7 linked regions of the Mus musculus genome follow. The protein of the gene in region 6 purifies or fractionates together with the protein of the main gene of each other region. This does not show direct contact. Links are inferred from orthologs where the notes say so. Each region holds a gene or a part of one and is shown on either strand. Other genes may lie near its edges. The genes, in order: Anapc4, Anapc13, Anapc7, Anapc1, Anapc16, Cdc26 and Anapc2.

Region 1 (3,810 bases), on a different chromosome or scaffold from region 6:
AAATGTCTAGCCAGTAAGCGCAAAATGCTGGGTTTGACCCTGATCACACCCCACCCCCAACATGAAACAAAAAGAGAAAAAGAAAAAGACATAATTAGTGCACTTACATAAAGATACTCTACAGAAAAACGTGTGTGCCACTATTAAAGTCTGGTTTTAAAAACATCCCTCTCATCAAACTTTGAGGTGAGAATCCTTAGTGACAGAATGGGAAGGAAGAGAGAGAGAATTCTGAGATTTAAAGGAGCTGGCAGTGGGGCACAGGAAGGCACACACTTCTCAGTAGCGTCTCCACACCTGCCAATCAACAGTAAAAACAAGACACAACAGCTCTGGAACTATAAAACTTCAAAACACTAAGTGTTCTTGGAACAAATCCCTAAAGACGTCAACACTTTCACTAGCCTACTTTTAAAATCTGTGTAAGGAATTAACAAGATGAACCATAAGAAACTACCCGTTTTAATAATGAAAAACAGTTATATACTATGGTCACTTATGTAAGTGGGCCAGACACTGCAGTTTTTCTCACTCCCACATTTCAGACTTACTGCTGGCTTTTGCAAACACTGATCAATAACGTTCTCCATCCGCCTTTTCACAAAATGCAATGATTTTCGAGGGTAATAAGGAAACAGCAAAGGACTTTCTGGATTCAAACAAAAACAGAAGCAAAGCAATAATTAGGAGAAAACATTGTTAGAACCAGCCCCGTGTAGCCCAGGGTGGAATTATGATACCTCCATAGACCTCATTCAGAATGACCACAGCATCTGCATCCTATCACTACCCATTCCAGCGGCTAAGCCCACCTCAGGACAGCTGGTGTGGTCCAGGCCCAGTGCACTCGTGCTGGTCTAACGGAGGAGCACACGGGGAACCACGAGCATGTAGTGAAGCACTGCTCACCCCGCTCTAGTCTTTGCTGTGGAATGATGACCAGGGGCATCCAGTGCTACCTTGAGAGTATAGCATTAACACAGAAACAAGAAATAAACTACTCTACACGAATATCTTTTTACTTCTTTAAAAGGCTACTTTATCAGTAGAAAGTGATGTAGAACTAGTGTTTTCCCCTTGCTGCTCTGTGAAATTCGTTTTTTTGTTTTGGTGTTTATTTTCAGTTACGTCCTCATGTGTGCTGGTGCTTGCAACACGTCCTCTAGAGCTGGACTTACAGGCAGCTGTGAACCTCTAGTGTGGGTGCTGGGAGTCAAAATGAGGTCTTCTGCAAGATGGAAGCAGTTCTTAACTGAACTACACCCCAACCCCTGAGAGACTGTTTCTGTTGTCAGTGCTGCTTACGACTCTATGAAGTAAGCACTGGATTCTCCAGTTTACAGAGCAAACAAAACATGCTTAGCAAGCTCACATAGCAGTCGGGTGTTAAAATGACTTCCCAGAGATCTCAGTGCTGAGTCTGACTCTGAAGCCCATTTCTCCATGGCTCTGCAGGCACCCCGACACACACCACCTTACACCTGGTATGCTGGCTAAAATGCATTTTAAACATTAGTCTGCTGTACTGGCTGGTTTTGTGTGTCAATCTGACACAAGCTGGAGTTATCACAGAGAAAGGAACCTCCCTTGAGGAAATGCCTCCATTAGATCCAGCTGTAAGGCATTTTCTCAATAGTGGTTACTCAGGGAGGGCCTATTGTGGGTGGTGCCATCCCTGAGCTGGTAGTCTTGGGTTCTATAAGAAAGCAGGCTGAGCAAGCCAGGGGAAGCAAGCCAGTAACATCCCTCCATGGCCTCTGCATCAGCTCCTGCTTCCTGACCTGCTTGACCTCCTTTGGTGATGAATTTGGAAGTATAAGCTGAATAAACCCTTTCCTCCCCAACTTGCTTCTTGGTCGTGATGTTTGTACAGGAATAGAAACCCTGACTAAGACAGCTATTAAGCATCAGAGAATGGTATGAGAGAACGGCATGTGATCTTGGTTTCCCACTCCTCCAACCCTTGGAATTTCCCAAGTGAACAAGGAGGCTCCTGGATGCCTCAGACGAGGGCACCTTGATCAGAAGCTTCACCTTCCAGCTCTATCTGCCAACCTCAGGAGAGAGTGCAGTGGAGGTGGGGTTCAATCACCAACTGCAAGGACGTAATCAATCACATCTATGTAATGAAGTCACTATTAAAGAAACCCATGTGCTGAGGCTTGCAGAGACTCCAGACTTGTGAACAGAGGGCTGTGAGGGCCTAGAACCTCTGGCTTCTCCTCCGTACCTACTCCATGAATCTCCTGCTTGACTGTCCTGTATTTATTTTTTAGTAAGCAAGTTAGGAAACCTGAATTTTTCTAAGTGGAAGAAAAGGAAGGTATAGAAACTCCCTGTGGACTGCCAGGCAGAGGCAGAGGCAACCTGGCCTGGCCTTGGGGCAGTCTGGTGGGGATACTGAGCCTTCACTCCTTCAGTGTCTGACACTCACTGAAGGTCTCTAGTGTCATACTGAAGTGATCATCAGAACCCTCGGATGGAATTGTGACTGACTGATGTCACTTGGTATCCCAATGTCTTAGACACATCATGAGAGTAGCACACCCCATTTGTTACTGTGCTGTCTCACACAATCAAAGACAATGGACATAAGAGCCACAACACTCAGCAGGATTCTAGCTCAACTGTCAACTGGTGACTAAGGATCTGGTCCCAGTTAACTACGAGGAAGTTCATGAGTACCTTTCAGGTGGGTGCTGTTTTGGAGGAAGTCATACCACTGGTTTCCTTCTGTGTTAGGGGGTGACACAAGGTCGTCGTCTTCATCTTTCAAATACTACAAGTAAGAGTGGACCGTTGCAATTCAGAAAAGAATAAAGCTCACCAAATCACTTTTTTTCTATTTAGAATGTTTTTGTGCTTTTGTGCTTTACTGACAAATTTTCTGCAAGTCCACTGTTTAAAAAGTGAAGACACAAAAGTCTGTTAAATGTCAAGAAAACAAACTTTAAACAGTTGGACGGTCAGAATGGTTACCATAGAGACCATAACTGAGGTTAAGTTTGTGCTTCATTTCCATGAGAAAATTTTAAATAGTTATAAATTAAGTGCCATCTAGCAATGTAACTAGCTGCTCCAAGAGTGTGCCCACAGACCCCTGCAAGTCATCAAGACACTCCAGGGATCTAACAGATCAACAGCAGATTTGTAACAATCCAAACACCGGTCTCTTGGCATTTGCACTGGTGGTGGGAAAAGCGAATCAAGGTAGCTGCCCAGCTGAGAAGGGCACACCAGCCACTATGGTCATAGTTTTGTTTATCTGTAAAGAGCCTTTATTTATTTTATTAAATCTCAACCTCTGAGTACAGATCTTGCACATCTGTGTGACAGAATGGGAAGAAGGCACATGGCACTTTGTGGCACACCAAATAGGAGAGTTACCCTAAGGAGAGGCATTTACACAAGTATTTTAGTTTTACCTAAGACAAGACACTTTTGAAGATTTGGATTGCATTTTTACTTGAAAAAGTGACTGGAGGAAAGACTGTAATTATTCATCTTGGATATTAGGAAGATGTTTTCTGGAAAATAAAACAAGCCTGTCACTCAGCCCAAGATATTTCATGCCAATGTAACATTTAACCTTCCAGCTAGGTATGATAGTCCAGACTTATGATCCCAGCAGGGGGACTGCAGGCAGCTTCAAGCTTTGTGAGAGCTCTCAGTAAGAAACAAACTTTAAAGCAAGAATTAAAAGTTAAGAAACTGCACCTGCCACTGCTATGCCTGACAGCTTCCCAGGATTAAAGAGTTCTCTGATTAAGCTAGTGACTAACAAAGTGTACCTTCTGGACAGACCTGCAA
Region 2 (4,281 bases), on a different chromosome or scaffold from region 6:
CCTCTGGGCGTCCTCCTTTTTGTTTGTTTTTTTGAGAGTCTCAAACTCTCTATAGCCAAAAGCAGCCTTAAGCTTCCAATCTTCCTGCCTCCACCAATGGGATTGCAGGCCTGTGCCACCGGCTCTGGTTACAGAACCAGGGTGTTGTGTATACTACAGTTAAGCACACTGCCAACCGACCTCCATCCCCAGCTGAGGGGGCCCTGCAGGAGTCCAGGGAGGGAAGCAAACTGTCAGGTGAGAATGAAAACTGGGTTCAGACTGACTTTATCAGTCTTGCTTAGACTTGGGGGGTCTGATGCTAGGCGGTTTACTCCGAACAAACTTAAACATAGTATGATTTGGAAGAAAGTTTCCTGGTGTAATAACAGTTTCTGGTGCACAGGGAGGTGCAATTACATTGAAACTCGACTTAGGGTATGTTATTTCTTCCAAGACGATGGGTTCTAGAGATAGGTTACCTGTACTAGCTTAAGGGTCTAAGGAAGGTCATACAATAACATAGACATCATCTGGTCTCTTAGCTACTTCTGGAGCTTAGGGAACCCCTGCTTATCAGGGTCATTTAAATTACTAGCCACCCTCGGTCCTGGTTGTAGGTTGATGTGGCCTGGCCCAACAGATAACGCAGATCACCAGGCTGTCAATCACTTCCAATTCCCAGCTTTGTGGACTGAACAAGTTTTATATCTCTCACATTGGAAGAACAATCCTGCATGCTTAACATCTCGGCCTCCCTGGATATGTGAGGGTGCAAGAACTTTTGTGCTGTGATCCCAACACCCAGCCTACTTCCTTCTTGAAAGAAACAATGTATATGTGTAAGTTCGTGTGGAAGTCAAAGGACAACTTGGGGATTTTGGTTCTCTTCTTCCACCAGGCGGGTCCCAGAGATTGTACTCAGGTTGCCAGGCTTGGCAGCAAGCGCCTTTAAGCCACTAAACCATCTTGCTGGCTCTCTTCAGTGCCTGGTCCAAGTGCTCAGGATGCTTGCTAAGCTCCCAGACCACAGATTGTTCCACATTTTTCTCCTGAAACTGTTGCAGTCTAACTCAGTCATCAAGCAGTGCTTTTGGGTTTCTGGCTTCCAAGTTTGTTCCTTATCACAAACACACCCTACTGTGCTCCCTGCCACAAAGTGGCAACCCAAGGAAAGGTCTTGTGAGGATTAGTACCAGTGGCTCTCTCAGGAACTGTTCTGTTTCCGAGAGAAGGGAGACTCATACAAGAAACAAACTGTGCTACGCGGCTATGTGCTTGCCTCCAACAGAATAAAGGCAAGCAAGCTAGCGCTATCTACCTAGTCTGTAGGAGGGAAAGGGCTTTTTACTTTAAAAAATTAAACAACCTGGGGCCTGGGAGGAGGTTCAGTGGAGTGAAGTGCTTGCTGTGCAAGCAAAAAGACCTGAATTCAGATTCCTGGCACCCGCAGAAAAAGCCTGGCACGATGGCACACTTGTGTTCTCTGGGAAGCTGCCAGGCCAGGCAGTTTAACTGAATCAGAAAGCTCCAGGTTTAAGATTCAAAGTAATAAAGGAAGACACTGATGTTGACCTCTGGCCTCTACACTCATCTACAACTCCACCTGTACGCAGAAATCTCCCCCACCACCACAACTTTCGTGTACGCGTATACACACACACACACACTGAAGCTCCCTCTGCCACGTTAAAACCAGGTGATAACTTAGCAGTTTTCCTCAGACATAACCAGACCCTAGCTAGTGGATAACGCAAAGCCAGCTGAAGGGCCACTTCTAATCACCCCTCAGGGTTTGACAAGCCTTTTGTTTTTGTAGCTGAGCCTTGGGCTGCATTTCACACCTTCTGGTGCTGACTTTCCCAGTCCCTATGGATTGCACCTTTTTCTAAAGTGCTCTGACTTTCTCTCCAGCTTTTCAGCAGGCTCTGTCCTTGAATGCTTTGCTGCTTGCCTCAAATGATCTATGAAACAAGTCAGGTCAGCTTTGTGACTGACTGGCAGGGTACTACTGTCTCCAGCGGTAATGTAAGGATACCCAGTCTTTCCACAAGTTCGCCTCAATACTTTGTAACATGACTCTCTTCTACATGCTTAGAAACTAGCACGCTTTTCACCCACCCCCGTCCCTCATCACTTATGCTTGGCCGTCCTTCCAAACACATCTATTTTCCTGGGTCAGGTGCTCGGGTGCTCACCCTTTACGTAAACAGAAAGTTCCCCCGCTCCGGATACCAGATAATATCAAACTCTCAGCTCTCAGATTGTTTCCTTTAGACCCCAGGCTGAGTGCAGTCCCAAGGGTCCATTCCTTCACCAGTCCCCTAGATCTCTGGGCACAATACGTGACAACAGGAGGAAAGCTTGTCACATTGCCCGGATATCTCTTTCTAGACATTAGATGCGTACGTCCTATGAGACATACACACCTTTCATGCACACAGCTTTGTAAATGTATTTCTAAGCTACGAGCACGGCGCCTACACTAAAATGGCCCTCGGAGGCCACCATCCTGGGACACTACAGTCACCCGCTGCAGCGACTTCCGGTTCGAGGGGTGGGAGGATACTACATGCGGAAGTGCAAGGGGGGAGGTCGAGCGTCGCCATGGGGGCTCCGTTCCACTCCGCACAGCGTGCAGTAAAGAAGTGGCTCTGAAGCTCGGTTGAAAGTACCGGCCCGCGCCTCTGGAAGCGGTAGACGCCGGAGTTCGAGGGCGAACGCTTGGCCACCCTCGGAAACCCGGGCCGCGGGCGCGAAAAACCCTTACCCACTGCGCGCGCGTCGGCTTCCTCCCGGCCCCGCCCTTCTTCTGGGTCACGTGACTCGCGGCGCTCTCAAGCCCCGGATGTGGGTGAGTCCAAGCGCTGCGGCAGGGGGCGGGACGGACAGCGATTTGTTGTGACTTGCGCGCATCCCCGGCCGGAGGAACGGCGGGCAGGCCCGGGGGCGCGCTCCGCCGGAGGCGCGCTCTGCCGGGGGCGCGCTCTGTAACCGACCGCATGCCCCAAAGACGGGCGAGCTGCGGCTAACTGTGGTGCGGTCTCGGCCCTGGCCACGGTGGTGCCGCTAGGCTCCAGGCCTCATGGCCCGCGGCCGCAGCTCGTTGCGGCCCACCTGCCGCGGGGCTTTCCAATGCCGGGTTGCGGCTGCCCGGTCGTCGCGCCCCTGGGTTCCTCCTCCTCCCTATGGGACTCTGGGCTGGCCGGCCAGGTGCTTCGGCCTGCGGGAGGGCGGGCTGCGGGCTGTGGGCTGCATGGCTCCCGGGAAGGGACCCGGCTGCTGCTGCTGCCGCCGGTGTAGGACCAGGCCTTAGCGTTAGCCGCCCAGCGGGAAGCCCGCAGGGTTCCTTGGTGATGTTAGTATGAGAGGTGCGGAAATGTGGCGGGAACCCCTGATGGCAGGGGAATTGCAGATGGCTTCACGCTTTCAAGTCAAGCATAGGAAACAAGATTGGTGGAGTGAAAGTTTGGAAAGGGGAATTCCACAACAGCGCTTTCACGCGGAGACACTTGACAGTGAATGGGCTTTTGTCCTTTACAAAATCGTGGAGTTAGTGCATTCTGATGTCAGACCTAGTTTTCATTTACAGACTGTAGACTTGTTGCCAAAAGTGCTCCCCATTCTCCCCAACTAGCGCTGGCTCTCCTTTGTAGCTATGATCTGGAACTTGCAGTGTAGACCAGGCTGGCCTCAAACTCAGAGATGGGCCTACCTATGTCTCCTAATTAAGGATCCGCGCCACCTCGCCTGGCTTTCTTGAGGCCAATTTAGAGTTTCAAAAATGTATTACTTTATTATAGCTCTTTGTACAACTCGAATATTTGTATTTTATATTTTGTATGTAAGTCAGAGATCAATGGCTATAGTTATCTTTAGCTTTTTACACTTTTTTTTTTTGTTTTGTTTTTCGAGACAGGGTTTCTCTGTGTAGCCCTGGCTGTTCTGGAACTCACTCTGTAGACCAGGCTGTCCTCGAACTCAGAAATCCGCCTGCCTCTGCCTCCCGAGTGCTGGGATTAAAGGCGTGCGCCACCACGCCCGGCTTTTACACTTATTCTTAAAGGCTGCAGCTTAACGATATGATGAAACGAATTATCTTATTTGGAATGCAGCGCCATTTTTAGGTTAATTTTTGTCCCGTGCTCTCTGTCTTTTACTGTGTCGTCCTCAGTGGTCAGTATAGTAAAGGAGGCTGCGAAACTAAAGAGGGTTAGAGACTTAAACCACAGACACATGTCCCTTTAAAATGTGTATATGCTGAAGTTTCAGAAACAATGGAGATATTGTTAATCATGCTGC
Region 3 (3,810 bases), on a different chromosome or scaffold from region 6:
AGGCTGACCTTGAACCCCTGATCCTCCTGCTCCTACCTTCAAGTTCTGAGATTATGGACTCCATCTATCCCATTTGACTTTTTTTTTTTTTTTTTTTTTTTTGGTTTTTCGAGACAGGGTTTCTCTGTGTAGCCCTGGGTGTCCTGGAACTCACTCTGTAGACCAGGCTGGCCTCAAACTCAGAAAACCACCTGCCTCTGCCCCCCCACCCCCCCACCCCCCCAGTGCTGGGATCAAAGGCGTGTGCCACCACGCCCGGCCCATTTGACTCTTTTGAATGATTTTGTTGTATGTACCTGTACACAGGTTCCTAAGTACACATACATAATAATACAGCTTATTTTTTAAGAAGGTACTATAGATTACCAAATGAAGTCACATTAGGGACTGACTGCGGGACTGACTGCTAATAGACTTGGAATTACTTTGGTTTTTATGTTTATGTGCCTGGTGCATTTGGAGGCCAGAAGAGGGCATCAGATTCCTTGGAGGTGTAAGCTGGAGTTACAAAGAGCTGTAAACTGCCCGATGTATGTGCTGGAATTTAGACTTGGATCCTCTGCAAAATTCCTGTGCTCTTAACTGCTGAGCCCCTCTAACTTCCCTTTTGAGAGAGGGTCATAACTCAGGCTGATGTTGGATTGATTATGTAGCCAAGCATAGCTTTTTCTTTTTTTTTTTAAAGATTTGTTATTTATTATATGTAAGTACACTGTAGCTGTCGTCAGACACCCCAGCAGAAGACATCAGATCTCATTACAGATGGTTGTGAGCCATCATGTGGTAGTTGGGAATTGAACTCAGGACCTCAGGAAGAGCAGTCAGAGCTCTTAACCTCTGAGCCATCTCTCCAGACCCCAAGGATAGCTTTCTGAATGCCTGGTCCTCCTACCTCTGCTTCCATATGCTAGGATTGCAGGAATATATGACCCTACCTGGTAGTGGTACCTAGTTGTTTGGTTTTTTAAAAAAATTGTCTCCCATTTTGTTTGTTTGAGACAGTGTCTATAGTCTTAACTGTTCTGGAACTGGCTACGTAGACCAAGTTGGCTTTGAACTCAAAGATCTTCCTGCTTCTGTCTCCCAAATCTCAGTGAATTAAAGATCTACACCACCACATATGGCTTCCCCTGTGTTTAAAATACTTGGGCCAGGCATGATGGCACACGCCTTTAATCCCAGCACTCAGAAGGCAGAGGCAGGTGGATCTCCGAGTTTGAGGCCAGCCTGGTCTATAGAGTGAGTTCCAGGACAGCCAGAGCTATACAGTAAGACCCTGACTCCAAACAAACAAACAAAGAAACAAGCAAAAAGCCCAAACAAAATAATAATAGCATGAAATAAGTACCTTTTTATAGACTTCCTTGTCTCAGTCTGTTCTTTACCTTTCAGAGGAAAATATATACCATTACTTAATTTGGGAAGGAGTGGGACTGGAGGTATAAACACAAGAGTGGTAACCAGGGTTGCCGATAAGCTGTGGGTGGACTGCTTACCTAACATGCAGAGACCTTGGCTTGGTACCCCATGCAGGACGGAAATAAAGCAGTGTCTCGGCATTAACCTTGCTTATAAGGACTATTGCATCTTTTTGAGGTTAGAGGTTGAAGTTCTGTGATAGGCTTGCCTAGCCTTTGTGAGGCTTTGGGCTCCATCGCGCACACACACACACACACACACACACACAGAGAGAGATAGAGAGAGAGCGCAGAGGACTGTTTGAAGCATGGGATTCCCACACAGTGACTTTAGACACCTGAGAGTCCAGGTGACAGTGTGCTTCTAGTGCTGGCAAGCTTGCTTTGTGTCTGTAGAATTGAACGAGCCTTTAGGGCCTGGGGAGATGAAATGGCGCCATAGTTAAGAGTGTTTGCTGCTCTTGAGGGGACTTGAATTTCTTAGCATGCATGTCAAGTTCCTAGGGGGGTGTGTGTCCAACCTTCTCTTCTGGGCAGCAGCGTGCACCTGTGCACATACGCATATAAATCACAGTAATGACTCTAAGATAGACTAATCCGTTATCACTCTGCCATTCTGGCTTTCCAATTGTGTTCTCTTACTGGCTTTTTTCTTTGGTATTTGAAGTTTGCAGGAGCCTGTTTTGTTGAGTTTCTCAATGAAATAATTCAGAGTGGTAAATTTTCTTTCTAGAGTCTCTAGCTTTTTTGTAATTATTGCTATCCTTTGGCAATATTATCCATAAAATTTGATGTTAACCTAAGATAATAGAGGTGTATGTAAAACAGTACTAAATTAAGAGGTCTTATTGAGTAGGCATAGCGGTCCATTCTGTGACCCATCACTTCCAAGGCAGAAGCAGGAAGATTGCTGTAAGTTCAGGGCTACCTGGACTACAGGTGAGCTGCTGTCTCAAAAAGCCAGAAAAGATGGAAGGATGTAAAAATGGGAAGGAAAGCCTGTGTTCTCCATTTGTTCATTGTATTGATTTATAGGTATCATTAGCTTCTGTAGTAAGAAAACACACATTGTACAAAACCACAATACAGTAAGATAGTGTTTTAGATGTTTTGGCCATATTTGCATGGTGTTCAAATGCTGTGCCTCTCATTAAGCCACTTAAATTTAAGGAATATTTTTTTTTCTTTTTGGTTTTTCGAGACAGGGTTTCTCTGGAACTCACTTTGTAGACCAGGCTGGCCTTGAACTCAGAAATCCGCCTGCCTCTGCCTCCTCAGTGCTGGGATTAAAGGTGTGCACCACCACGCCCGGCTGTATTCATGTTTTTTTGCAAGCTGGCGTGATAGAAGGTTTTTGTGGTAGGCTTAGGTACACCAAGGTGCTCTTTCTAATTTTCAAAATAACCCATGTAGGACTTGTTTCCTTTATGTTCTAGTGAGCTGTTTTCCCCGTCGCAGAAGTACCAGCTCTTGGTGTATCATGCAGACTCTCTGTTTCACGATAAGGAGTACCGCAATGCTGTGAGTAAGTACGCCATGGCTTTACAGCAGAAGAAAGCCTTAAGTAAGACTTCCAAAGTGCGGCCTTCCACTGGGAATTCTGCATCTACTCCACAGAGTCAGGTGAGTAAGAGCAGACTCAGTCACTCAGTCAGTCACTCAGTCAGTCATTTATTGTGTTTTTGGGGGGCAGAGTTTCTCTATGTAGCTTTGGCTGTCTTGGAAGTAGACCAGGCTAGCCTCAAATTCAGAGAGCCACGTGAAAGGGTGGCCACCACCGTCTGACGTGCCTGTGACTGTCTATGTGTATATATTTATTGATTTATTTATTTGGGTTTTTTTTTTATTTATTTACTTGTTAAAGGAAATGTACGTTATTTGTTTTATATATTTAAGTACACTGTCACTATCTTCGGACACACCAGAAGAGGGCATCAAATCCCATTCCAGATGGTTGTGAGCCACCATGTGGTTGCTGGGAATTGAACTCAGAACCTCTGGAAGAGCAGCCAGTGCTCTCAACTGCTGAGCCATCTCCAGCGCGTATACGTATATGTATATGTATGTATGCACATACTAAGAGACAAGATTGAAGTACTTGTTTCAGCACTGAGCTGGTTGGTTATAGAATGAAACAGTTCTATATTCTTTGTTATTATCACATGATATTCCATGGTTCCCGAGTGCTGCTTTTCTTTCATCTTTGTATTAATGAATACTGGGGTTCTCCTGTCCCTCACAGCTGATGCTGCTGGGGTGCTTTGTGTCCTGGTTAGGTGAGCTTGGTCTCTCCAACTCATAGAGATCCCCCTGCCTTTTCCTCCTGAGTGCTACAATTAAACATGTGTGCCACCACTGCCGGGTTTTATTCTCATTTCTTTTTTTTTCTTTC
Region 4 (3,810 bases), on a different chromosome or scaffold from region 6:
ATTCTCTGAGGCTATTGAGTGCTACTGAGGAATGAGGCTGAGTTCTCTGAGCAACTTAGGCTGGTGCCTGTGCCCACCAGACTGGAAAGCCTGGTGACAAGTGGTCTACATTTGAAGGATGTCATAATGTGATATGTATGCATGCTGTCAGTCAGATGCTTTTTCTGTGAAGAACTTGGTCTGCTGCAGGGCTGTCATTATTGGAACAGAATGATCGGAATCATCAAACCATATGCAAGAATACAGCTCCTTGTCTTTAATCTCAAAGTCTTTTCATCTGTGTTGTATTGTGACTTTTTATAGGTGGTTCTGTTGTCTCCAGTTCCAGAATTGAGGGATTCTTCAAAACTTAATGATTCTCTCTACAATGAGGATTGCACATTCCAGCAGCTTGGAACTTACATTCATTCTGTGCGAGACCCTGTTCATAACAGAGTCACTCTAGTAAGTCCTCCTCCAGAGGGTGGAGCAGCTGACTGATCCTCCAGAGGGTGGAGCAGCTGGCTAAGGGTTATTTGTCTGATAGTTCACATTTGGCAGGATGTAAAATTATGTGTGGAAATGAAAACGAACATTTCTCATGATTTTAAACATTTATTGTTCTATGATGTGCATATGTGTGTGGGTATGCATTCATGTATATGTGTGTGCATATGTGTGTGGGTATGCATTCATGTGTTTATGACATGAATGGCCACAACTTTGGAGTTGGTTCTCTGCTTCCATCTTCATGTGAGCTGTAAGAAATGAATGCAGGGTGCCAGGCTTTAACTGCTGAGTTACTTTGTCTTTCAGATATCTTGACATTTTTAAAACATGCTATTATTTTGTACTATTTTACTTTAATTCTGTTTTCTGAGATTTCTATATTAAACATTTACTGAACCCAACCCCAGTTGAGGAGCTGTTGGGAATGGATGGTTTCTGGGGGAGGGAAGGTCAGTTTCCTTAAAGGATATGACCCTGGTAGGATGACCACCCATCCATCAGTGGATTCTTCCACATCTGAGAGTTTATGGGTAGCATAAATTGGGCTTGATGGGTTGTTAAGAAGAAGGAGAGAGGACAGGAAGTTGGGGGTTGGGAAATAGGATCTGCGAGGAGTTGGGGGTGACTATGATAAAAGGACATTATATGAAATTCTCAAGTAGCTAATAAGAGTATATAACAAGTGTATCTAAAACAAGCACATTTACTCCGTCAGTTCACATTGCTGTGTTTTTGTCTTTTCGGAGAAAATCACTTTTGATGATGTTGGTGTCGTAGTGTTTGGATAAAAGCATTATTAAAAGAATTTTTGAAAGTATTTTACAAAAATGTATATTTAGTTAGAAGCATTCATTCTCATTGAAAAGTATAGCAGTTCATTTTATTGTATTTTGCCTTGACTGGCAGACAGTAGTAAAAATTGCCATTTTTTTTTTTAAAGCTTTTAAAAACTTAGAATGCTTAAGCAGTTGGTTTTTTTGTTTGTTTGTTTGTTTCCATTCTTTTCACTAGGAACTGAGCAATGGCTCCATGGTTCGGATCACTATCCCTGAAGTGGCCACCTCGGAATTAGGTAGGTACTGTGCAGTCTCAGTTTGTTTACCACACTGTTGATGGGGACAGTTTCTGGTCTCAGTTTGTTTACCACACTGTTGATGGGAACAGTTTCTGGTCTCTTTTTTGTTGTTGTTGTTGTTGTCTGAATGCAGTACCTGTGGAGGCCAGAAGAGGCTGTCAGGTCCCCTCAGACTAGAGTTAAGAATGGTTGTGAGTTGCTATATGGGTGCTAGAAATTGAACCCAGGTTCTCTACAAGAGCAGCCTGGGCTCTCGACTGCTGAACCAACTCTCCACCCTGCGGTTTCTGTTTGTAGAAGTGAGTCCTTTGCAACATCTGGTTTATTCTTGTTTGTTTTCAGCTAAAGCATGCCGTTTTGGTTTTCTAAGATTTATAGTCTAGGCTTCTAGGCTTCTCAGTGTCTGCTCATTCATTTGATTGATGAGGCTGTGCTGCTAAAGATGGCGTCAGTGACAGTGGTGGTGTGGAGGGAACAAGAAGGAAAACTTGGACTGTCTGGAGCCATTTTGTCCCAATAGTGAATCTGCTGTTTACAGCAGGCAGTCCCCTTGGCTCTCTTCACTGTAGCTGATTTTCACACCAATGATGTGCCATAACTAAGAGCAGTATATATTAGATAGTGTTCGCCCTAACCTACTTATGGCATGGTGAGGAAGACAGTGTAGAAATTACGAGTTGCAGTGTTAGTTGACAGGAATGTTCACTCATTGAGAATAGCTTGTAGCATCCCTAAGCATTCCTGTTAGTAGGTGCCTGTGCTGCATGTTGAATCTACTGAAGGATTTAATCCACATTTTATATAAATTTATTTGTGTAGAAATTAGATTTTTGTTGTTGTTGTTGTTAGTTTTTTGGTTTTTTCGAGACAGGGTTTCTCTGTGTAGCCCTGGCTGTCCTGGAAGTCACTCTACAGACCAGGCTGGCCTCGAACTCAGAAATCTGCCTGCCTCTGCCTCTGTGCTGGGATTAAAGGCGTGCGCCACCACGCCCGGCTTTGTTTTCTTTTCTTTTTTTTTTTTTTGAAATTAGATATTTTTTATGAAGTAAGCTTGATTGTTCAAAGTAGGACAGTTTTGAGAGTGAAAAGGGAACAGTTATTTCCTGGAGCAGTGGTTATTTCTGGTGAACTGGGCTATATGCTCACTTTATTTCTAGTCCCGAATTAGGGATCTGACAGCTAATCTTCAGATTTTCTGTGAGCCCTGTTGAATTCAGTAGTTAGTTTAACGTGATTGATAATGTTGAGGTAATGTTTGTGCCCAGTGTCCTTAGTGATAGTTTCTGTTTTTCCTGGCTGGCCTGGACATGGTAGCAATTTGAACCTTCCCATTTGAAAGGAGGCAGGCAGTACATACTAAAATCAGTATTTGCTTTTAATAGTACAAACGTGTCTGCAAGCAATTAAGTTCATCCTGCCAAAAGAAGTAGCCATTCAGGTGCTCGTCAAGTGGTACAATGTGCACAGTGCTCCAGGAGGACCCAGCTGTCACTCAGAGTGGAGTTTATTTGTGATTTGTCTCTTGAACATGATGGGTTATAACACAGACCGCTTAGCATGGACCCGAAGTGTAAGTAACTACAGTTGTTTTCTTCATTATCCTGTTAGAAATGCAGTGCTTGTATAACTGGCTATATAACTGAGAGAACCTGACAAACTTAATAATAGGTAAGCCTTAGAATATGTCGGGATAATACTAAGGCCTGTTGTCCTATATAGCATGAATCAAATACTTAGTAGGTTTTGAGTCTTTATTTAAAAATCTGTTTAAGCACAATTTACCTTTTTTTCTTTTCTTTTTGTCTTTTTTAAAGTCAAGGTCTTGCTGTGTACGTAGCCCAGGCTGGTCTTGAATTCACCACATTCCCCACTTTGCCTTCCAAGCTGGGATTGCAGTTGTGTGTTACTGCTGCCTGATTTTGACTGTTTCTCAGTTATCTTTGTAAAACGACGTAACTAGACCTCTTGGTTTTGTTGGTAGGCGAAGCAGCGAGGTCTCAGACTTAGCTTTAGAACGCTGGTAGCGGTGTAAAGCCCAGCCTTCTGTCCGTCATTCTGCAGGAGGTGCAAATGGTTTATGATGCACCAGCGGATGCCTTCAGGGTGGGGGTGCCTGACCGTTCTCCAGTTACTCAGCGTGGGGCTCGGAAGACGTTGCTATGGATTACTTAGCTCTTTGTCCCCCAAACTCAGACCTATTCACCTATGTGTTTTCATCTTGTGTTAGTACTGCCATTTTTTTAAAA
Region 5 (3,810 bases), on a different chromosome or scaffold from region 6:
TTATGACCCACACCCAACCTTGACTCTTTCTTCCTTCCTTTGTTTTTTTTTTTAAAGGATTTCTTTATTTTATATATGCAAGTGCTGTTTTCATGCACACCAGAAGAGGGCATCGGATTCCATTACAGGTGGTTGTGAGCCACCATGTTGCTGGGAATTGAACTCAGGACCTTTGGAAGAGCAGCCAGTGTGCTTAACCACTGAACCATCTCTTCAGCCCCACTAACCTTGATTCTTAAATGCTTTTGCTCTCTGCTGCCCCTGCCCTCCTCCCCCTGCCTTTTAAAATAAAGTCTCACTCTGTGCCCAGGCTGGCATGGCAGTCTCTAGATAGTTCAGGCTATCATCACACTCAGAACAGTTCTCCCATCTCAGCCTTCTGAGCACTGGGGTTTCTTGCTTTCCATCAGCGTGCTCTGTTTCTATTTTCCTCTTCCATTACACTAATGTAAAAAAAAAAAAAAAAAAACAGGGCTGGGGATGTAGCTCAGTTGGCACCATTGGGCTTGGACCCCAACTCGGAATAAAGCAGACAGAGTAATAAATAATCTATGTCTGTAGTCTCAGCACTTGGGAGGCAGGAGGAGGAGAATAAGAAGCTCAAGGAGTCAGAGGTCAAGCCTGGACTACACAAGACTCAAAACGAAATGAATTCAACAACGAAGAAGAAAAGGCTTTGATGCAGGCATATTAACCTATAACAGGGTCACCCCGAGATCTGACATTCCTGTCAACTCACATTTAGGAGTGCTTCATGGAAGGACACACACAACTCATATGCAAATACCATGCCACTTCACAGAAGAGACTGAGCACCTGTTGACTTCAGTATCCATGGAGATGAGGCACAGGTGTGGAAGTCGGAGGTGGTGTAGGAGAGGAGGCTGAAGCAGAGCCAAGCCCCAGCAGATACTGTGAGGGTAATGGTGGTGTTTTCATTTTCTTTTTTTTTTTTTTTTTTTTTTTTTTTTAAAGATTTATTTATTTATTATATGTAAGTACACTGTAGCTGTCTTCAGACACTCCAGAAGAGGGCGCCAGATCTTGTTAGGGATGGTTGTGAGCCACCATGTGGTTGCTGGGAATTGAACTCAGGACCTTCAGAAGAACAGTCGGGTGCTCTTATCTGTTGAGCCATCTCACCAGCCCCGTGTTTTCATTTTCTTAACTAGGCATTTATTACTTATGTATGGGTCCTCATGGGAAGGTCAGAGGACAACTTTTGGGAGTCAGTCCTCTTCTCCCACCATCAAAGCCACAAGTCATACTTAGGCGGTCAGGCATGGTGCCAGGTACCTTTTGCCAGCAGAGCCATCTTTTCTGTATTTTACCAGACAGCCCCTTTTCTGTATTCTTGATATTCAAAAGTATGTCAGATACTTGCTTTGTCGAAGTCAGTTGTCTTTCATTGTAAGCAGCTTTTAAGATTACTGGGGAAACTGGTTAAGAGAGGCCATAACTACACCATGAATTTACACGTGGTAAATCCACCATACGATAGAATCCAATTGACTCCTCAGTGAGGTAATGAGAACGTCTAGATAGAGGCCTGTTAGACCATGAGCTTCTGACGGACTTGAATCACTTTTTTCTTGAAGCAGTGTTAAGCACGGATTCTTCTCTGTTCTATAAAGCTCGTTAAGCAATTTAAATGCCTTCAACTTGCCATTTGTTTTGTGGCTGGCCTCCTTAACTACATCGCTGCTGCAGAGAGCTACAGTTGTAATCCACTTTTAGTGCCAAATACAGACACAAAGATTCTACTTCCAGTCAGACTTGATGATACCAACTTGAATATCCACACAAACGGAGACCAACAAAAAGGCAAAGCAGAAAGTACACATGCCTGACACACCGCCTTCCACACCACACGGCACCTGTGGCTGCTCTACCAATTAGATGCAAGTGACCCCAGAGCCTTATGGCACTAGAGTCTCCCAGGCATGCAGCCGGGTCAAAGAGTGCCTGCTTGCCTACCATGCATGAGGCCACTGGGTATCCAATCCCCAACACTGCTTTGGCATAGTTTAACCTGAAACTGGGTTTTTAAAAGTACCTGATATAAATGTATAATGATCTCCCTAGAAAGCCAGTCCCTGAATAGTTTGTGCCTTTCTCAGAGATATCACCCAATTAATTTAAAATATATGCATGTAAATATGCAAGATTTAAAGCAAAAAAGAGCATCTTATAATTCAATACAAAAATGCTTGACTCCAGTGAATTTTGAGTCTTTTTTCTTTCTTTTTTTTTTTTTTTTCTTTCAAGACAGGGTTTCTCTGTATAGTCCTGGCTGTCCTGGAACTCACTTTGTAGACCAGACTGGCCTCAAACTCAGAAATCCGCCTGCCTCTGCCCCCCAAGTGCTGGGATTAAAGGCGTGCGCCACCACCGCCCGGCAAATTTTGAGTCCTTAATGGGTTCCTTGTCAGTATTTTTTCTTTTTTGTTTTTTTGAGACAGGGTTTCTCTTTATAGCCCTAGCTGTTCTAGAACTCACTCTGTAGACCAGGCTGGCCTCGAACTCAGAAATCTGCCTGCCTCTGCCTCCCAAGTGCTGGGATTAAAGGAATGTGCCACCACGCCTGGCTCTTTGTCAGTATTTTGAAAATATGAGAAGACTCCTTCATGAGAAGGCCTCAGATACTGGTCAAAAACCAGTTTCCTGTCCTAGGCTAATTCAGGATCTGTAGAGTGGCCCAGACATGTGCATTTAATTTTTTTTTTCTTTTCTTTTCTTAAAAGAGAGTCTCATTGTACATCCCTAGTTGGCTGGAACTCACTATGAAGATGAGGCTGGCTTGGAATTCAGAGATACATCTGCCCAGCAAGACATGTTCATTTTAAGTTAAATGTGTCACATGAGTCTTACGCTCCTACAATGAATTACCAGTCTAGTTTACATGAATCCGAGACGTTCCAGTCACTAATGCCATTTCATGGCTGCTGCCCGTGACCTAGTTCTGGCCAGCCAGTCTGTGTGATAAGACCAAGTCTATCTCCAGTGCTATAAAAACCATGCCGTCACACAGCCATGTCCGGCAGTGGTCCATGAGAGTCACCTTCACAGAGGTAAATACATTGACTTTTATTTCCCCTTTAGGCCTCTCTGGTGGGATTAGTCTATCTGTAGATACTTACTAAAAGAGAAAATACATCAAGCAGGTGTTATGAGGCAACCTGCAGGAGACCAAGAGGGTACGTGGTGCCAGTGGCAACCCTGGTCAGGTCACTCAAGGGCTTTGGCTTGGAGCTATCTGAGCCCCCCCCCCCCAGCCCCAGGTCCTTTACACTCTACATGAACTGAAGGTCTGAAGGAAACCCAGCATGAGAGACATCACCTTCTAACATCTCTCCAGCTCCTTTCGGGTAGGTGAACAGAGCTTTCCGAGGTGGGGCAAGGTCGGACACACTGAAACCAGATCCGGTGACAGAGCTTCCACTGACCCCACCAGCTGAAGACGAAGACGAGGAGGCGGCCATTCCCTCCAGTAGAAGTCTCTCTTCACTAGAGGAAAGAAACAGCGATTGGCAAGTTTATAAAGCCTGAGTGACCGCACTTCATTCTGGCCCAGTAGGGTCAGCTTTCCCTACCCTCCAGCCTTAGGTAGTCTTATAATGTCACTTAGGTTTTAGAGTAAATCATGTTTAAAAATCACTTGAAACAGGCTGGAGAGATGGCTCAGTGGGTAAGAGCACCAATTGCTCTTCTGAAGGTCCTGAGTTCAAATCCCAGCAACCACATGGTGGTTCACAACCACCCATAATGAGATCTGACACCCTCTTCTGGTGTATCTGAAGACAGCTACAA
Region 6 (4,457 bases):
GCTAAAAAGGCTTTGAAGCCCTGGGGACCCTGAAGAGATGGTAGGTAGGACCTTCGCCTGCTCCCAGGCACCAGGCCCCTGTCACTAACTGCAGTCCCCCATAGATTTGTGGCCATCAGTCATGTAAGGGCAATGCCCCAAGCCCCCCACCCCCAACATAGATGAGGCATCACTAACATCTCAGACCAAGACAAGAGGAAAAGAAACGTGACCACCATAGGATCAAGCCAGATCTCCATTCTAATGAGTTGCCTAAAGGCCTGGAGGGCATAAGCAATAAGCTTTCCTTCCCAGACACTCCTCCCTGCAAAATGTATTTAACCTCAGGCCCACCCTGAGAAGTGGGGGCATGATTTTATACATCCACTTTCCTCTATGACAATAAATGCCTTACTACTATGGACTGCCTCTTTTCATCGGGATCCACCATGGGGAGCCATGGAGAAGGCCTTCGACTATAGAGCCACTGTCTAGTCCTGTAGAAGGCCTTTCTGCACTCCCAGCCACCACTGCCCACCAAGCCCAAGCCCAAGCCTGCAGTCAAGCCAAGGACTCTCCCCGTGTGACCAGCCATTGTTCCCCTTCCCCCCACCACACACAGCCAGCCAGCTGCTCCCCCACTCCATTCTCAGCTCTTCTGGGGCTCCCAGCGGGGCCTGGATGTTGGAAAGCCTGAGAACCGACCACCCCAGCCTCATCACAAGCAGGCAGACCCCCAAACCAGCTCCCACTGTTCCATGCCTCAGACTGCCCGCTTTCCCACCAGCAATGTCCTGGGGCTTCCCTATGGCCCAGCACCAGCCCTGAGCTGGCATGAGGTAAGTGCAGTCAAACTCCCTGTGTCCTGCCTCCCCAAGCTGCAGAGCAGACTCAAGACCCACAACCCTACACTAACTTTTCTTAAGTTCTAGACTCTACCATTATTGGGTTTTTTTTTTTCACTTTAGTAACTAAAAATTTTTGCCTCTTAAAAAAATTATTTAATTATGTATTGGGTGTTGGTGAAAGCACACAATTCACAAGCATCGGTCAGAGGACAACATCTGGGGTCAGTTCTCTCCTTCTACCATGTGGGGCATCACACTTAGCACAGGTTCCTTTACCCACTAAACCGTCCCACATTCGCATTCTTTGTATTATTTTAATACAGACACCTTGGGAAACTTGAAAAATTATTCCAGTTTTATAAAGTTGAAGCAAACAGTTTAGTTAATATCAGAAGCCGGGCAGTAGTGACACACACCTTTAATCCCAGCACTCTGAAGTCAGAGGCAGGAGGATGTCTGTAAGTTTGAGGTCAGCCTGGTCTACAGAACATGTTCCAGGACAGCCAGGGCTACACAGAGAAACCCTTCTTGAAAAACAAAAAATGTGGGCTGGAGAGATGGCTCAGCAGTTATGAGCACTGATTGCTCTTCCAGATATCCTGAGTTCAAATCCAGCAACCACATAGTGGCTCACAACCATCCGTAATGAGATCTGACACCCTCTTCTGGTGTGTCTGAAGACAGCTACAGTGTACTTACATATAATAAATAAATAAATCTTTGGGCTGGAGCAAGCAGGGAGAGCGGGGCCTGAGCAAAAAAAAGAAAAACAAAAAACAAAACAAAACAAAAAAAAAGCTAAATCAGCATTCTATAAAAGTTACACATAGGGGCTGGAGAGATGGCTCAGTGGTTAAGAGCATTGACTGCTCTTCCAGAGGTCCTGAGTTCAATTCCCAGCAACCACATGGTGGCTCACAACCATCCGTAACAAGATCTGGCGCCCTCTTCTGGAGTGTCTGAAGACAGCTAGTGTACTTACATATAATAAATAATTTAAAAAAAAAAAAAAAAACAAAGTTACACTTAGACCACTAAAATAAAAAGCTAAATGATAGTGATCTACATGAAAGTTTTGCTATAGTGTGCATTCATAGAAATTATTATTGCGTGCATCCAGAACGAAACAAAACACTACAATGTATAGGAAACATTTACACTTCTCTCAGGAGGCTTAGCACAGCAAGGGGTGATCTAATCAAAACACTGGCCCGTGACATTTCAAAACTGCTTTATTCTATCAGATACTACTTTCTACCAGATCCTTACGTAGAGAAATGGAAGTCAGCTCCAAGGGGGAAAGGAAGAAACACTTAGAAAAACAACAACAACAACAATAATTCCCTACTTGCGAGGGAACTTTCTGAAAGCCTCACCACTAGAGAGCAATAATGAGTACGAGTTAAAAGCGCGGCTCGGCGGCTCGCGACCTGCCACGTTACTAATTCTACTACTACGGCTCCAGAACGACCTTTTCTCACCAGAATGTTTTTTGGTTTTTTTCGGGCTTGTACTCTTGTCCGTGACTGAGATGACTAAAACAGAATAAGCTCGTTGCGCGTAACTCGGCATTAGTAAGTCCTCGAAAAGGAAGTGCTCTTCTAATTGGAGTTGTTCGGGGCAGGGCCTTGAGTGTGGAAGTGAGTCTGTTCAGCTCGGCAAACGCGCATATTTTTGTAACCCCCACAACTTTCATGTAAGGATTTTTTTTTTAAAAAAAACCTTATCTCTGATGGCCTAACATTCATTGGAGCTACTACTGCTGATATGCTCTTTATCTGGAGCCTTCATGGACCCTTTATTTCAAAGAACACAGACAAAGAATAGGCTGTAGACAAGTAAACCCACAACAAACTAGGCCGCAGCTCCTCCACCACATCTCTATTTTAGCCTTAGAAGGTCTTAGAGTTTAATATCTTCTTGAAGCCCAAACTGATTACGTAGCCACCGAGTTACGAGGGGCCCCCGAAGGACTTCCGTCGTGGACAACAGTCCTCTTTCCCAGCTCCAAGGCTGCAGAAGTCTAGGGAGAGATTTCCATGGCAACACAGGCCTCAGCTTCGAAATGGCGGAAGGCCTCCCGAAGGATAACAGAGACCCTCGTTTTGTTCCAGATTATGGTTGCGATCCGCAAACCTACCTCTTTTCAGGCCTCTGCAGTTCCCCAGAACCTCAACTCCCACCATGACTCCATTGCTGCGCAGCCCAAACTACACCTCCCAGGCTGCTCTGCGCCTCTCTTCCCATGCTCCTCTTCTCCCGCGAGGTTGTGTAGCTCTGTAAGGCCACGCCCCTCGACTCCAGCCGACCTTTGGCAACTACCATTCCCAAGATACTTCGCACGTAGTACGTTTCTGATACGTTTCCGGCCAGTGACGCACTTCCACTTTGCTAGGCGCGCGGTTCCCGGTCTGAAAAGTAGAACGCGGATTTGGCTAGGGCCTCGCGTCTCCGCCGCCCGGCATGGCCTCCTCACGAGCCTCCTCCACGGTACGGAGCTCTGGATCTAAGCTCAGGCCTGCCCTAGAGAGGCCGGGGGTTCCCGTGGGAAAGGGCCGTTACCTTACGGGTCTGGGCCGAGGAGGAGGAAAGCTGAGGGACCCTAGTGTGGACCTTAGTAGCCTTTTCCTGATGTCTTCGTGTGCTGCAGCTCTCTTTGCACTGCTCTTACTTAAGTCCTGAGCAGAGACCACTCTTTCTGGCTGCTCCAAAACACGGTGCTTTGGAATCGGGTTGTGTCCTGACTTAAGCTGTCCGACTCGTACTTACTATGATGAGGCTTCCCAACTTGTAATCGGCTCTGAAAGTATTTGAAATGTGTATTCCAGTCACATCGTGACTTGGTGCACCTAGAGCCACCCTGATTGTTTAGGTTGTTTTTAGTGTCTGCCCAGCAGTGAGAAGTTATTTTCGTAAAACCGGAGATTGCTTTTCCAGTCGATTAAAGTAACGGGCCCCAAAACAACCAAGACACTTCAGGCAGAAATTGATTGGTCGTATTTGTGTGCCAAACTTAACAAGAGCCTTAACTCGCACAAAGTCAGTTTCGACTTTCTCCTCTAGTTTTGAGAGGAAAGAAGATGAAAGTGCAGCGTTAGCTTCATTCTTTTGGGAAGCATGGTTTGCTGGAACTAAACCTTAGTCCGGGTCTTTGATTTAACAGACAACCAAAACCAAAGCGCCTGACGATTTAGTTGCTCCCGTTGTGAAGAAACCACACATCTACTATGGAAGCTTGGAAGAGAAAGAGCGGGAACGCCTGGCCAAAGGAGAGTCTGGGATTTTGGGAAAAGAAGGACTCAAAGCCGGCATTGAAGCAGGAAATATTAATATAACATCCGGTAAGATGCAAATTGCAGGTCATTACCCCCACACACACACCCTTTTTTAAACAGTGCTGGGAATCCAACCCGGGTTTTTTTTTTTTTTTTTTTGCATGCTAGGCAACTGTTCTGCCACTGAGCCATACATTTCCATCTCCCCCCACCCCCCACAGTCTCTTACCTTTGACCTCAAACTCCTCCTGCCTCCTTCCTGGTCGCCACCATGTACTTTTGATGATTCAATATTCTGATGAACACCTTCCCAAACCACATAGTATTAGGTTTATAGGCCAAAACCTTCTATTGG
Region 7 (4,261 bases), on a different chromosome or scaffold from region 6:
GTGTGGCTTGTGGCCTGGGATCCACCTTGGGCAGGATCTGGGTGTGTAAGCAATGATTCCAAAGGGCTTTTGTTTCCTTTGAGGATGGCACCTCAGGTCAGTATTTCCTGACTGAAAACAGCTGTTCTGGGACAGGGACACAGGGGCCCATGCTGTGTCCCACCAGGTTCTGTTGTCTTAAGGCCAACCTGTCCTCAACAGGTGTCTGGGCACAGCCTGCCTACAAGGGTGGCTGAGCCCTATCTTGGAGGAAAAGGATTATTAAACTGTGTCCTGGGTTCTCTTCTTGTCCCCACCCTCTTCCTGTACTTCTGACAGCATCTCTGGGGGACCTGAAAGAGTCTGAGTACATACTTGTAAGCTCCAAGAAGTGTGGCCAGTAGAGAAAAGAGGACAAAGGACTAATACGCCCCTGGCCCCCAGCATATGTCCTTAGGCTGACCTTGACTGCTAGACACAGGTGTGCACTTGACTCAGGTTGCCTCACCTGAGGATCTCATCGAGTGCAAATGTACTAACAGCACAAAGCCTTACATTGATTCCACAGATGCCACACACAAGTGAAGGACCAAGAGTTCCTTTTAATGGCCACAAAAGCAGGATGGGGCCAAAGTCTAACTCGGGAGACTCTGAGCTGCCAACCCTATTCACTCTTGCTGAAACAGGTCCCAGCATATTCTAAGACAGGCTACAGGAGATAGCTTTAGGGTAATCTATTGCCCAAACATACAAGCTTAGGCTGGGGTAAGCCTGGCTTCTTGGGTGGCTCAGTTACCTGCTGCTGGGAATCCAGGCCCTGTAGGGTTATGGTTGGGTGGCTATAGAGGGCAAACCTGTTTGTATTCATGGGATCCAACAAAATACATGAAAGGATGAGCCAATATGCTTTAATTTGTTCTGTGGGTGTTAGGCAGGGAACGGGCAGGGACTGGGCACAGGAACATGGAAATAGAAGCTGTCCATCTAGGGGTTGCACAGGCATGAATGCTGTAGTCAGAGCCTGGAAAGGGAACATCAGTTGGAATTCTTAGGCAGGCGGTAGACACCTGCAGAATAGATGAGCTGCTGGTCTCGGACCTTCTTCTGCAAGTAGCCCTGCAGCTCCTGCAGGTCAATCTCAGCCAGCGCAGGGCCAGTCATTACAAACATCCGGAGCATGCTGTAGATACGCTCCAGAGAGAGGCTCTCTAGGTTGGTTAACATGGCCTGGATGTATGCCCAGAAGAGCTAGGAACAGAAGCCAGGCATGGTTAGTTGTCCACTTATTTGGCCCACCCCAGCCCAATGTGGAAATGGCCAACGTACCAGTAGCTCCTCTTCCTTCTGGTCAGCCTGGGAGGCCATGCCTGAGTCACTCTCATCATCACTGTCAATCAGCACCATGTTGTCCCTATCCTGAGGCCGCTCTTCCTCAATGACAGAGAAAGTGCCTGGAGGTTCCTCCCGCAGCACACCCTGTTGCAGCCACACTGACATGCGTCTTCGAAGCAGTGCCACAGGCATCTTCACCACCTTGCTCAGTTCCTCCAGGGTCCAGCTGGCTGTGTGCAGAGCCATAGGATGCAGGTACCGAAGATTATACCTGCTCCAATACCTGTTAGCTAGCTGGACCCCCAGACGCACGTGGATTGTCCTGTGTAACTCATAGGTAAAAAGAATGGTTGCTACCCCTACACTCTGCTGGGGGCTGGGGAATCTGGCATGTTACCTTATAGCCCATCAGATTATAGCAATAGCCCCAAGGTAGTGTAGTCAAAGCAGAGCAGATATGGTTCTAGGGACTCACCTTGGTTCTGGAAATACAGCAAGACCACTGCCTGTACTGGGGTCACCGCAACAGACAGGGTGCGGTCAGCAAGCTCCACATCCATTGTCACCAGGCCCAGGGTGTGCTTCCAACTAAGTGTCCGCATAGCCTGGGCAGGAATCATCAATAACAGTCCAGTGGGTTCCAGGCAGGTCCAGATGAACAAGGCATAGGCTCATATGCCATGCTACCAAGCATGGAATGGCTCTTGCACCAATGCCATTCCTGGCAGGTAGGTAGTCAACAGCAAGACCAGGAGACCTGATTGGAGTCCCTGGCTCCTGAACAACCATGATATAACTGCTGATAAATTGTGTCCCTCTCATGTCTCAGTACCTTGGAACATGAGTTATTTGCAAAGAGAGTTAATGTAGATGTAATTAGTTAAGAAGAGGTCATCCTGGAGTAGGGTAGCCCTTAAGGCACAGAAGGGAGTGGTTATGAGAGGCATAAAGTATGCTGACATATCAAAAGCTGGGAAAGCAAAAGAGTAGTTTTTTAGAGGCAACAGGAGGAGCCCAGTCCTGCCAACACCCCAACACTGGACTTCTATTTCCCAGAACTAAAACATTTTTCTGTTGTTTAAAACCACTCAGCCTGTGACTTTGTCTTCTGTCTGTCTGTCTGTCTGTCTGTCTGTAAGACAGGGTTTCTCTGTGTAGCCCTGTTAAAAAGGTCATAATAAGTGAAGCTTCTGCTGTATAGATGGCACATGCCTTTAATCCCAGCACTTGGGAGGCAGAGGCAGGTGGAGCTCTGTGAGTTCGAGGCCAGCCTGGTCTACAGAGTGAGTTCCAGAATAGCCAGGGCTACACAGAGAAGCCCTGTCTAAAACAGAAAAAAAAAAAAAAAAAAAAAGGATGATTCTGGTTCTATGTAGGGATACTGCTCTAAAAACACCTAAAATATAGAAGTTGTTTGTACAATGGGGAAGCACATGAAGGTTAAACCTTAGGTTGCTACAGTTAACTGGCACGACATGGAAGATGCAGATGATGCTGGTGAAGGCTCAAGGAAGGATAAGAGCTATTGCCCATACTATAGAGAATAATGCTGGTAGAGATGAGGGCACTGAGAGGACCTGCTGCTGAGAGCTCAGATAGAAACGATGAGCAAACACTAGACACTGGGGGAGCTGGCAGAGAACTACCAGCCTGTAGCTAGATGTTTGCTGACATGAGTGTGATTTGTAGATCCACCCGGAACACGTAGCATATCCAGGAACATACCCCTTCCCTCACTTTCTTTTCTTCATTTTTTAAATAAAAGACAGAGCCTTCCTCTATAGCTGAATTGCCTTGAAACTTGTTATATACAACACGCTAGCCTCAAACTAGCAGTGCTGCTGCTGTGCCTGCCTCCAAGGCTGGGGTGACAGGCATCACCAGCACACTTGGCTCAGGATCACAGTCACTTGATAAATTGGATATTGTACACTTCATGGAAAGCACCAAGATTTTGGGTGTTATGTCAGCAGCAATGCTGACAGTCTGAATGCAGTGACAGAGGTACAGGAGAGTGCACACAGGGCTGCCAGGAAAGCCAAGGGCACCACCAAGGCCTGAGCCACACTGTCAACTCTGCTTTCCGTGGTTCAGATTTGCTTTAGGCTCATGATCCTTCTTGCTGCCTTTGGGAACACCCTCTTCTGAACTGGGCTTGTTTTAACAATGTGCTTTGGATCAAAACAACCTCACAGCATCAAGGTGGAGACGAAACCTACTTCAGATGGATACGGTTTTTTTTTTTTTGGGGGGGGTCCTCACTATATAGCTAGGCTATATAATGAACCACCACCCTTCTGCTTTAGTCTCCTGAGTGCTAGGATCATAGATAGGCACCACCCATCTAGATTAGAAGAGATTTTTAAGAACTGATGCTGAAGTGGTTAATTTTGGAGATATTGGCTAATTTTCTCATGTAAAGACTATTAGTTTTAGAACCACAGGCTGCCATGGGCCAAACTGTATCTCTTCAAAGAGATAGTAAGTAAAGCCCAGGACACTGACTCTAGTGACACTGTAAGTCCTATCTCCAGGGTCCTTAATCTGATATAACTAGTATCCCAAGAAGAGGGAAACAGACATAGAGAAAACTTGGACATAAAGATATGCATTTACCACCTGGGCAGTGGTGGCGCACGCCTTTAATCCCAGCACTCAGGAGGCAGAGGCAGGCGGATTTCTGAGTTGGAGGTCAGCCTGGTCTATAGAGTGAGTTCCAAGACAGCCAGGGCTACACAGAGAAACCCTGTCTCAAAAAAACAAAAACAAAATAAAGAAAAAGGCCATTTACTTAGATCTGCCAGGGCTACTGCAAGAGGCAGGAAGGATCGTTTCCCTTAGAGCATTCTGGGGCAATACAATGCAGTAATACATTTCTAATCTGGTAACCCTGTACTTTGCAGTGTCTCATTGAGGTGGCACCCGGGACACTGATTCCTTTGCTCTAGTG

Evidence for each region.
Region 1: the proteins of Cdc26 (region 6) and Anapc4 purify together in Homo sapiens (affinity purification with mass spectrometry; 11 studies listed by BioGRID and IntAct, with this or other methods). This does not show direct contact. The link is inferred for Mus musculus from reciprocal best matches to the Homo sapiens genes CDC26 and ANAPC4.
Region 2: the proteins of Cdc26 (region 6) and Anapc13 purify together in Homo sapiens (affinity purification with mass spectrometry; 4 studies listed by BioGRID and IntAct, counting the BioPlex papers as one, with this or other methods). This does not show direct contact. The link is inferred for Mus musculus from reciprocal best matches to the Homo sapiens genes CDC26 and ANAPC13.
Region 3: the proteins of Cdc26 (region 6) and Anapc7 purify together in Homo sapiens (affinity purification with mass spectrometry; 5 studies listed by BioGRID and IntAct, with this or other methods). This does not show direct contact. The link is inferred for Mus musculus from reciprocal best matches to the Homo sapiens genes CDC26 and ANAPC7.
Region 4: the proteins of Cdc26 (region 6) and Anapc1 purify together in Homo sapiens (co-immunoprecipitation; 6 studies listed by BioGRID and IntAct, with this or other methods). This does not show direct contact. The link is inferred for Mus musculus from reciprocal best matches to the Homo sapiens genes CDC26 and ANAPC1.
Region 5: the proteins of Cdc26 (region 6) and Anapc16 purify together in Homo sapiens (co-immunoprecipitation; 5 studies listed by BioGRID and IntAct, with this or other methods). This does not show direct contact. The link is inferred for Mus musculus from reciprocal best matches to the Homo sapiens genes CDC26 and ANAPC16.
Region 7: the proteins of Cdc26 (region 6) and Anapc2 purify together in Homo sapiens (co-immunoprecipitation; 7 studies listed by BioGRID and IntAct, with this or other methods). This does not show direct contact. The link is inferred for Mus musculus from reciprocal best matches to the Homo sapiens genes CDC26 and ANAPC2.

What each region holds. Positions count from the first base shown.
Region 1 is NC_000071.6:52,858,082-52,861,891, reverse strand, and holds part of Anapc4 (anaphase-promoting complex subunit 4), read right to left. Parts: intron 2,780-3,810; coding exon 2,686-2,779; intron 650-2,685; coding exon 552-649; intron 1-551. UniProt on the Homo sapiens protein: Component of the anaphase promoting complex/cyclosome (APC/C), a cell cycle-regulated E3 ubiquitin ligase that controls progression through mitosis and the G1 phase of the cell cycle.
Region 2 is NC_000075.6:102,624,815-102,629,095, reverse strand, and holds the start of Anapc13 (anaphase-promoting complex subunit 13), read right to left. Parts: upstream 2,801-4,281; 5' UTR 2,750-2,800; exon of another isoform or gene 2,532-2,749; intron 2,497-2,531; exon of another isoform or gene 2,409-2,496; intron 2,370-2,408; exon of another isoform or gene 2,178-2,369; intron 1-2,177. UniProt on the Homo sapiens protein: Component of the anaphase promoting complex/cyclosome (APC/C), a cell cycle-regulated E3 ubiquitin ligase that controls progression through mitosis and the G1 phase of the cell cycle.
Region 3 is NC_000071.6:122,425,277-122,429,086, forward strand, and holds part of Anapc7 (anaphase-promoting complex subunit 7), read left to right. Parts: intron 1-2,854; coding exon 2,855-3,041; intron 3,042-3,810. UniProt on the Homo sapiens protein: Component of the anaphase promoting complex/cyclosome (APC/C), a cell cycle-regulated E3 ubiquitin ligase that controls progression through mitosis and the G1 phase of the cell cycle.
Region 4 is NC_000068.7:128,663,199-128,667,008, reverse strand, and holds part of Anapc1 (anaphase-promoting complex subunit 1), read left to right. Parts: intron 1-303; coding exon 304-444; intron 445-1,500; coding exon 1,501-1,561; intron 1,562-2,946; coding exon 2,947-3,134; intron 3,135-3,810. UniProt on the Homo sapiens protein: Component of the anaphase promoting complex/cyclosome (APC/C), a cell cycle-regulated E3 ubiquitin ligase that controls progression through mitosis and the G1 phase of the cell cycle.
Region 5 is NC_000076.6:59,993,108-59,996,917, forward strand, and holds part of Anapc16 (anaphase-promoting complex subunit 16), read right to left. Parts: intron 3,508-3,810; coding exon of another isoform or gene 3,483-3,507; coding exon 3,341-3,482; intron 1-3,340. UniProt on the Homo sapiens protein: Component of the anaphase promoting complex/cyclosome (APC/C), a cell cycle-regulated E3 ubiquitin ligase that controls progression through mitosis and the G1 phase of the cell cycle.
Region 6 is NC_000070.6:62,405,585-62,410,041, forward strand, and holds the start of Cdc26 (anaphase-promoting complex subunit CDC26), read right to left. Parts: upstream 3,042-4,457; 5' UTR 2,968-3,041; intron 1-2,967. Other genes in the region: Prpf4 (U4/U6 small nuclear ribonucleoprotein Prp4), read left to right, coding at 3,291-3,317, 3,991-4,168. UniProt on the Homo sapiens protein: Component of the anaphase promoting complex/cyclosome (APC/C), a cell cycle-regulated E3 ubiquitin ligase that controls progression through mitosis and the G1 phase of the cell cycle.
Region 7 is NC_000068.7:25,282,217-25,286,477, reverse strand, and holds the end of Anapc2 (anaphase-promoting complex subunit 2), read right to left. Parts: intron 1,917-4,261; coding exon 1,787-1,916; intron 1,542-1,786; coding exon 1,306-1,541; intron 1,228-1,305; coding exon 1,015-1,227; 3' UTR 562-1,014; downstream 1-561. UniProt on the Homo sapiens protein: Together with the RING-H2 protein ANAPC11, constitutes the catalytic component of the anaphase promoting complex/cyclosome (APC/C), a cell cycle-regulated E3 ubiquitin ligase that controls progression through mitosis and the G1 phase of the cell cycle.